Linked DNA regions of Arabidopsis thaliana. The protein of the gene in region 2 interacts with the protein of the main gene of each other region in a pairwise test. Each region holds a gene or a part of one and is shown on either strand. Other genes may lie near its edges.

Region 1 (4,445 bases), on a different chromosome or scaffold from region 2:
AATTGTTTTTCATATTTTCTTATTATATTAGTTATTTTATTTTTCAAAATTAATATATTAAATAAAAACGAAAACAAAAATTATTTGACTCTCAATTATATTATTATAAATTTAAACATCAAAAGTATTTATACTAATAAATACATCATAGCTTTTAATGTTTTTATCATTTTATTTTTTGTTTATACAGTATTTAGATTATTTTAGTGCGACTGATTGGTTTATTTTTAATGAAACATAATGTTTTTTCTTAATAAATAAAATATATAGGTCCCACAAAAAAAGCAGAGAAAACTCTCGAGTCGTATATCACAGTGAAATCTCCCTAGACTAATCATTTGTGATTTCTTTATCAAAAATTCCAAATTGATAGATATGATCAGATCCATTTGTTCACACAGTCCGTAAGTTGTAGGTGAGTGAAATAGCTCACATTCCATCCATGATTCAGTATCAGTTCAAAAGAAAAAGTTGTCTAGTTTTTCTTTGTTGATGTGAACAAAAAATAATAATTCTACGGTTTGTGATGTTACTAAAAATTTTCGAATTATATAATACAACATAACATTGGCTCCACATACAATTCTTTTCCTCTCGAGTTTATTTGAATTTAGTACACATGATTTAAAATCAGATAATGTCGTAAGAACAACTCACACCTAAATGCACATATCATTTAATCGTAATGTAGCGGTTTGTACCGTGCTTTGCCCAATGGTCCTTCAGATCGACCGGGTTTGAAAGATCATGATGCCCTTCTGCAGCAAGCCGGCTTAGAAGCTTGTTGAACGCGCTTCCGCTCATTTTCCGTCCACCAACTCGAGCATGCCTTTTGTTGGGCAGTGCAGGTAAAGGATACATTGATAGTGTAGTTGTGCAACACGATGATTGCCAACCTCCATTTCCCCATTTGTAGCACTGTCTGAGAACTCCTGTACATGAACATACAGGTGGTGGCATCGTTGTCTCGTCGTAAACCACTTGGTTCAGCCCCACCATTTCTTGACTTTTCCAGTCAGATTTTGATCCTATTAAGATATGCTTACTTGAATCTTCGTCTGTGTAGTCATGGGTCGTCTTTACAAACATTATCTTGTTTAAGTCGTCCTCGCTCTCTTTCTTAACCTTCCTCTGATTTTTTGGCCCTCTCTTATTAGCAGCAGTTTGTGTTGTCGCCTTTGGGTTCACTCTTTTACCACGTTTTGGTTTGGCAGATTCCAAGGTGGATCCGGCAGGTGGTGATGTTGGGAGACCATCATTTGGCTCCATCTCTCTGGTTTCATATGCATTTTCAGTCAACTGAGGTATGTGATGTTGTTGATGATGATGATGCATGTGCGGATGGTGCAAGTGTTTTACACCACGTGATATTTGACATCCTGGTGGACATGCTGACATATTGGCAGCAGGAGCAGTAACCATAGAGTTCTCACGGTATTGGAGTGCTGTAAGAGCACTGTCTCTCTCCATTATCGCATTGTTGCGCTCAGCAATGGCGGTGTCCCTCTGAAGAAACGCCATGTCCCTTTCAGCTACTGCTGCTTTTTTCTCTGATATCGCCAGATTTCTCTCCTGAATCGCTGCATCGCGCTCTGCTATTATCGACATCACTTGTTTCATCGACGGCTGATGCTGCATCAACCACTGTTTTACATCATGAACAAATCATACATTCCCATCAAAAACAGTCTCAAATCTGAGGTGTTTAGCCGCAAGCATGATGAACACCCATAAGATGTATATATAGAGCAGAGAAAGGAAAACAACTGATTTAGCTTTGGGATTGTCAAGGTACCTGGCCCTGAACTGCTGCTTTATGCCGACCATTCTCACGATGCCCACCATCATCCATTTGAGATATTAAAAGTCTTGACGGTACAGCTTCTACAATAACTGAACAAGCTAACGGAATATCAAAATAAAAGACTGGTCCATCTTTTAATCCTCCTGCACATAGCCAATCATTAAACAGTGTCAAAAAAGACCATTTCATAAATAAACTACTATGAAGCAAAATAGCCAATCACCAAAGCATTGCTAGTATTAGTGAACATACATAAACGACTATGAAGCAAAAAAAAAATCTATACTTGAGTTCCAGAATATGATTCAGCAGAGACAAAGCAAACAATTGTTTGTCCATCTATGAGTATTTTCTGAAAAACTTTCAACAAAAACACTCAAACTCAGATGACTAAAAATAGCAACATTAATATCGAAATGGTACCATTTTGTTTCAGGATTTGCACATCAATCAATCGATTCTAACCAATACACATAAACTCTGTGAGATATCAAACTCAGCTAAAAGAAACACAGTATCATCGATTATAGTCATAGTGATAATCATCAAAAGCTAATTTGGGAAAACACAAAACACAAAATCGCCTACTCATGATGATCAATAAGAACTCTAAAACCACAAAATCTGGTTCGATACACTATCCAAAAGAAAGAAACAATCCAAAAATTCTCCAACTCTAATGTCGATAGAAACAGGCAAAGCTCATCAAAATTAGGATTTAGCCATTTGGAATCAAATCGAGTAACTTAATTCAGCAATTAGGATTCAGCCAAGCCCTAATTACTTCAAACGAGCTTCGATTAATAGGAAATGAGCTTAGAAGCTTGGTAAGAACTTGGAGAAAAAAGTGAAATGAAAAGGGGCGGCGAAGAGAGAAAGAAGATGGTGGAAGAGTAAGCGAAGTTTACCGGGGGAAGTAGAGAGAGAACCCGCCGGAGAGATACAGAGAGACGACGACGGTGGTGGTGGTGGTGGTGATGACAAGCAGAGCAGAGAGATTGAAACCCTAATTGAACTGCGAGAGAATAAAGAAAAATATCTTTGTGGAAGAAACAGATCGGGGAAGAGGAAGATGGATTTCTTTCTTTCTAACTGTTTTTACGTTTGGTAAAAACAAATTTTTAAACTTTTAACTCTTTTTTCACCCATTTGGTAAGTGTTTTACTGTTGCACTGTTGTTGTTGAAAATTAGGTGACCAATTGGAAAAAAATAAAATAAAAAATGTCTATTAGTATTATTATGTAATTACCAGTTAGATTATTTTTATATAAAATTTAAAGTGTGGCTGGTGTGGTCATTACAGTTTATATATAATTTAACATTTTACGATCAATATTAATATGGCCTTTTTGAAACTTCAGTCTCGGTCGCCAAATATCAATAAAACGTTACCTTTCCTCAGAACAATCGACTCTATAATTAGATAGTAGCACATTTGTTATGAGATTTTATCACAAACAACATTTGATGCCCCAACGTACTTAACTTTGACGCCATGTGAACGTGGATTCCTGCAGCCTAAAACAGAGCACCTACTTGATCTGAATAATAGATTTGTTTTATTAATAGTAGCCTTAAGACATTGATACTTTTTAACTCGACAGAGGATTCTCGTCCCCATGCATTTCTCATTAGGCATGACCCAAGAGTTATTCTCACAACGAGAAAGCTCTCGTGCATTCCAAGTAAACTGAGAAGACGAAAGATGAATGTTATTCCAAACAATTGATATAATATATTTTAAGTTTAATTGAGTAACTAGCACAACTGTACTTCAAAATTATGCAACTACCAAAATTCTTGATCGTTGTTTTATTTTTTGAAAAAAAAAAATTATGCAACTACCAATTTTGTTTTATAACAAAATTCAAGGAGTTTCTAAAATAAGTTATATACTTTTTGCAAGAAAACTAAAGTCTTGTCATTGATCATTGTTTCAAATATCATGTATTGTTTTTAATCTATTTTATGATTTAACTCTAGCCCGTCGCACCTATGCCCTCCTCTTTTGGGACTCAGTGGATGATTAATTCAGTGTACAAAATATAAGATCATTAATTAGAGAACACTGGTATTGAGTTTGGAACCATATGTATATATTAATATATATCTTAGGTACATATATACAGATTGACAATCCTAAATTTAAACATCAATGTCTATGTACATCTTTGATCTTAATTTCAATTATATGCATCTACTATATATCTTTCTTTATATATTTATATGTAGTGTATCACAATGCAGAATCTTGTTTTATTCTTATTTGTTTTGTTTTTCTTTCGTCGTGCATCCTTATATATTTGCCAGTTTATATCATGATTCGTACAAGTGGAAATATCTAGTTGTTTATAAATCGAACCACCTAGTTTACTTCCACGTCAACGGACATGTTGTTGTCACCAATCGAGAAACGACATATTCAAATGTTTTATGAGCCAACAATTGCGTAACGATCATGTTTTGTGTATATATATAAATCACATTTTCACATTTCCATAGCTACAAACAACGAACATGGCTAAACGTTTTCTGCTTCTTCTTCCTCTTTTGTCATCTATTCTTCTTCTTGCCGTGTCCGTCACAGCTTACTCCACAACAACGCCGTATCAAGGCTACAAGCCGGAGAAATTCACCCAC
Region 2 (4,794 bases):
CACAGGCTCTTCCCGAACGTGCAGACCACCTAATGATGTCCAAACAAGAGGTAAACCATTAATTTTACTTCTTTTCACTGTCTATTAGTTTTTTGTGTGGTTTAGAGTAAAAAAGTCATCATGTGTGTCACGTTTAAGTAGATGTGGGCAATCCGATTTTTGGTTCCCTTCATGTGTTCCGCAAAGTTCTGCTTAAGTGTAAAATCTAGAATTGCTGATATACGTTCTAATTGGTGAATTTGCAGAGGAGGATTTAAGATGTAAGGTGTAAGACGTTTGTAGCTGCCTAAAAACTGTAGGAGGAAGGCATTCCCTATAGTTGCAGATATATGTAAATATCCTCCAATTTTTAGTCTCATGGATGATCTTAGTTGTATATTACATATAGTAGTTGATCCCTTTTGAGAATGATGACAAAAATAGAGGCAAACAGAGTTAATAATAATTGCCTGAGGAATTTTGGTTTTTCTACTATCACTCAACGAAGCTTTTTTTTTTTTTTTTGTCCAGTGATGTGACATGTTTTACGTCCGAGATTTACGGGTTTAACTTCTGTGGAGTCTGTCTTCTTTTGATTGGGTTAAGAAACTTTGCTTCTAGAAGGTTAAACGTAAAAATTACAAAAATCTGGCCACACATTATGCAGCTGAAGATCGATCATTTACATTTACAAGGTAGTTGAAAGTAGAAAAAACAAAAAAAGTTCCTAACTTAGGATCTCAAATGTAAAACCTAACGTGGAGAGACATCTAAGGATCTGTAGCTTTCACAAATCTGCCCTTAACACGCAACCTGGTCTCGGCTCTCGCCTTCCTCGTTTCATATCTTATGGTCTTATCATATCTGCTGAAGCAATTACAAATTAGCGATTTCGAAAGACAATCAACTTACAAAAGGGAAACTAAAAGAAAAAATGGAGAACATCATTACCTCCGCGTTTTCTTCTTTTCCTTGTACCGCTGCATAGCATTATCTCTGTTCTGTGCCATCTGCTCTAGATCAGCATTCGTTACCGCCACCAATCTTGTGGCTCTATTACTAGTAATAGCAATATGTTCCGTGCAATGCAAGCCACAGGAGTCGTTAGAACTTTTATGCGAGTGAATGGCAGCAGGAATATTGTTGCTCTTAGATGTTTCCTGTCCCTTGGTAGAAGTTGAGTGGACGGAATCCTCCTGCTACATTCTACTTATAAGTATCACAGTTCACCGACAAAGATATACCAAAAATAGTAGTTTGACTTATCAATTATGATATAAATACATCAGGTTTCATTCATTCCAAGATGTTCTAACCAATAGAAATAAACCCATGAGATGTAGCTACTACCAGACCAGTATATCAGTCACCAACTTAAGCTATATATGAGGGAATATTCAAATGTTTAAGGTATGGAGTGTTTTGGGATTGAATTTAGGGATCGGGGGAGTTTATTGTCTATAGAACAAACTCTAATTACGTTCTGCAATGTGCGTTGTGTTTGTCAATTTGTGAGATAAATAAAATGGTTTACAATTCCAAACCTAATAACAATGTAATACCTGGTAACTCTCTTTGAAAGCATTCATATTGGTGGTTCGGGTATCGTTCTTGAGATGAGTAACGTTGTTGAATGTGAAAGTAGAGCCTTTAGTTTCGACTGGACTAGGTTCATCAGGGTTCCTCGACTGTCCCAAGTTAAAATCCCATATCTGCAACAACGTATATTCCACTGTGAACCCCAGGCCATAAAACAGAGTCTTATCTCTAATTAGGACAACCAAGAAAGAATAATCAACGTTCCGACAGGTAACTTAACAGATTTGGAGACCTAAAGATCCAACTGAAGTTACTGTAACATGTTCTAAGCACAAAAGCAAGAACACATGACCAAACTTAAAACCCTAAAATCAATTGCCAGAGAGAGATAGAGAAATGGACCTGAGTGTTCTGGCCAGTGCTATGATTAGTAGCATTCCATTGCATACCATTACCACAAAGACTTTGAGACATAAGCAAAGAAGTAAACGACGTCGTCGGAGATGGCTGAGAAATGCTTCCTCCGCCATTGATTCCCTCCGGAACCATAATCTCTCCTTCGCCTTCAACGAAGCCTCTCTTCAGTAACTCAAGCTGTTCAAACACTACCTGCTTAGACCTCCCAAAGCTAAAGCTTTGCTTTTTGCAAGACACATCATAAGGAACAATCAGTTCTTGAACGATGTTAGATCCAGAACCCCACGAATCCAACCCCATCCCAAAATTCTTAGTCAATTCGTCTTCGTCATCTTCTTTCTTCTTACCCTTTAAATCGATTCCCCACACAGCAGCAAGCTCCAAAACCGAAGGACAACCTGAAAACCCTTCCACGGCGGAGCGTTCATGCGTCGCGGAGGAGGAACAGCTTCCGTGAACATCCCAATCACACTCCTGACACAATACGAGATTATCTGTGAAGCAACGTACGGACACCGGCTCTTTGCTACAGTTATCACAGATCTGAGAACGAACATGCTTCCTCGAGAGAAGGTTCGCCGAGTGCACGTGCTGGTCACAAGGCAAACAAAGCTTCGCCGTATCGGCTCTACAAAACAGAACCGCCGTTCTCTCGCCGCAAAATTCACACGCCACCACACTCTCTGTAGTAGAAGTACCCATTTTGTGTTTAAGATGGTACCTTCACAATCCCTTAAAATCTCGCTGATTTTATACAGTGGAGAATAAGATCAAGATGACGAAAGGTGATGAAGTGATCGATGGAAGAAGAAGAAGATGACATAGACATAATCTCAAAGTCTCAAGCTTTCGGTTTTGCAGTGAAAGGAGAAGAAGAAGATGTCATTAATTGAAAATATCTAACTGTTGTACCGGAAATAAAGTTGCATTTACATAGGTAATTAATTACTTGAGAAATAATTGGCTGCATTACAGTGTATGGATTTAGGCACATTAATTGGCTGCCTTTCTTTCAGATCCACGCACAAGGATTTTAGCCCATGTTTCTGCTAAGCCCAATTCTAAGCCCATTATTTGGATGGGACGTTAGGATGTTAACGACATGATCGATAAGGAGAATATTTCACATGTACGAAGTTTACTAACTCGTAAATCGTTCCAGATGATCATTATTTGGCAATTTAGAAAACAAATAAGTCAATATATATATACTAGGAACATATCCTAAATCCAGCCATGAATTCACACCAAGTATCCAAATATCCAAAAATCTTGCAAGTTCTGTTGTAGCACATCTTGAAACATTGTGCAATGTCATTTTGAATGTCAATAACAACATTCTATTTTTGACATTGGTATCTTGGTAACGAGATTGCTTTCTTGGTCTCTTTTAGAAAGGTTATTATCTTTTAGTCGAATATCAATAACATATCTCTAAGAATTGTCCAAAACTCAAGATGTTTGTCCATAGGTTTGGAATATAGTAAACGTTGGAAATAAATTACTGATTTCCACTTTTCAATCGGATGAGGATGTGTTTTTTACCTTTTACATCCATCTTTGATTCATCTCTTAAAGCCATGTTTTCTCTCATTGATTCATCAAGCTCAGCGAACATAATTTTCCTCCCACACATGTGTCGCTTTCACCTATGTGACAAATCATTATTGGTTGTGTACTTGTGTTGTTATATGAATAGAAGATGAATGGTGTTACAATCATTGCCCATTATGTGGTGCGAGAAACAAAACATCCAACCTTTGCTATTTTCCTATGCCCTAAGGTTTTTTCACATGTTACTTAGCTATTATGTGTTTCAAACTCACTTGGAATGGATATTCTATATTCTTACTTTTACGAATTTTGATTCTTTATTATGTAGAAAACCTACAGAAAATCACGTTGTAAATTCGGTTTCGAAACCATAAAGGACTTCAATATTCAACTATTCTTTAACAAGTGAACTTTTATCATCTATATCACTTAAATCTTTATTCTCTATATCACTTGAATTCATAATAGAGAAACGAAAATTTAACTAAACACAACCTTTAAAGAACCCTTAAAAAGTAATTAAAAAAGAAGGAAAGTGAATTATACTAAACAAAAGATTATGTTAAAATTCGGATTCTTAAAAATCTTCTAGGGAAAAAAAAGCAAAATGGAATATGGATTCGATAAGGAAGGAAGGAGAGGAGACCCACACACAAGAACAGAGTGACAGACACAATTTGGCGTCTCTTTCGATCTGAAACATCTCTGTCTCTCCTCAGAGATTCCCTTCTTAGGTCCCATTGTCTCTCTTTCTGTATATTACAACTCTTGCAAACCTTTCTACCACCAAGATAAAATTATTATTTGGTAAAAAGCAATATCTTTAATTTTCTAGGAAAAAAGAAAGAAAGAACAACACTGGATTGAAGTGGTCGTCGCTTTCTCTTTCTACACTTCCAACAGATTCCCTTTTGCACTTCTCTCTTTCACTCTTTTCACTATTTTTGTTTTATCATTATTTTGTTTACGGAAACGTCATTTTCCTCCAGACAATACCTTTATTCCCTATATATATAATGGTATGGTGTAAAAATGTTATTGCCACTGTATATATTGGTCTATCACAATTCCTTCTCTTTATCTTCCTTTTTGTATTTTTGCAGCAACAACAAAAACGTAATTTATAGTTAGGTAGTTATCTTTCTTTGCATGTTTTGTGTATGTACGTAACTAAGAATGGTAAGTTTTTTTTGTTTTCCCTCGATTTTACCAGTTCAATAATAAACGTTATGCAATCTGAAGTTAATTATACATACATCTACCTAATATTCTATTAAACCATACTATATAGATATAGCATGCTTC

Evidence for each region.
Region 1: the proteins of BBX12 (region 2) and BPC6 interact in binary tests that used the Arabidopsis thaliana proteins (3 or more experiments, as listed by UniProt).

The regions. Positions count from the first base shown.
Region 1 is NC_003076.8:16,998,694-17,003,138, reverse strand, and holds BPC6 (basic pentacysteine 6), read right to left. Parts: upstream 2,881-4,445; 5' UTR 2,713-2,880; intron 1,948-2,712; 5' UTR 1,853-1,947; coding exon 1,796-1,852; intron 1,645-1,795; coding exon 673-1,644; 3' UTR 532-672; downstream 1-531. Other genes in the region: AT5G42510 (Disease resistance-responsive (dirigent-like protein) family protein), read left to right, coding at 4,323-4,445. UniProt on the Arabidopsis thaliana protein: Transcriptional regulator that specifically binds to GA-rich elements (GAGA-repeats) present in regulatory sequences of genes involved in developmental processes.
Region 2 is NC_003071.7:14,187,410-14,192,203, forward strand, and holds BBX12 (B-box type zinc finger protein with CCT domain-containing protein), read right to left. Parts: upstream 2,846-4,794; 5' UTR 2,638-2,845; coding exon 1,921-2,637; intron 1,692-1,920; coding exon 1,542-1,691; intron 1,179-1,541; coding exon 931-1,178; intron 844-930; coding exon 750-843; 3' UTR 514-749; coding exon of another isoform or gene 511-513; 3' UTR 505-510; downstream 1-504. Other genes in the region: AT2G33490 (hydroxyproline-rich glycoprotein family protein), read left to right, coding at 1-50, 246-257.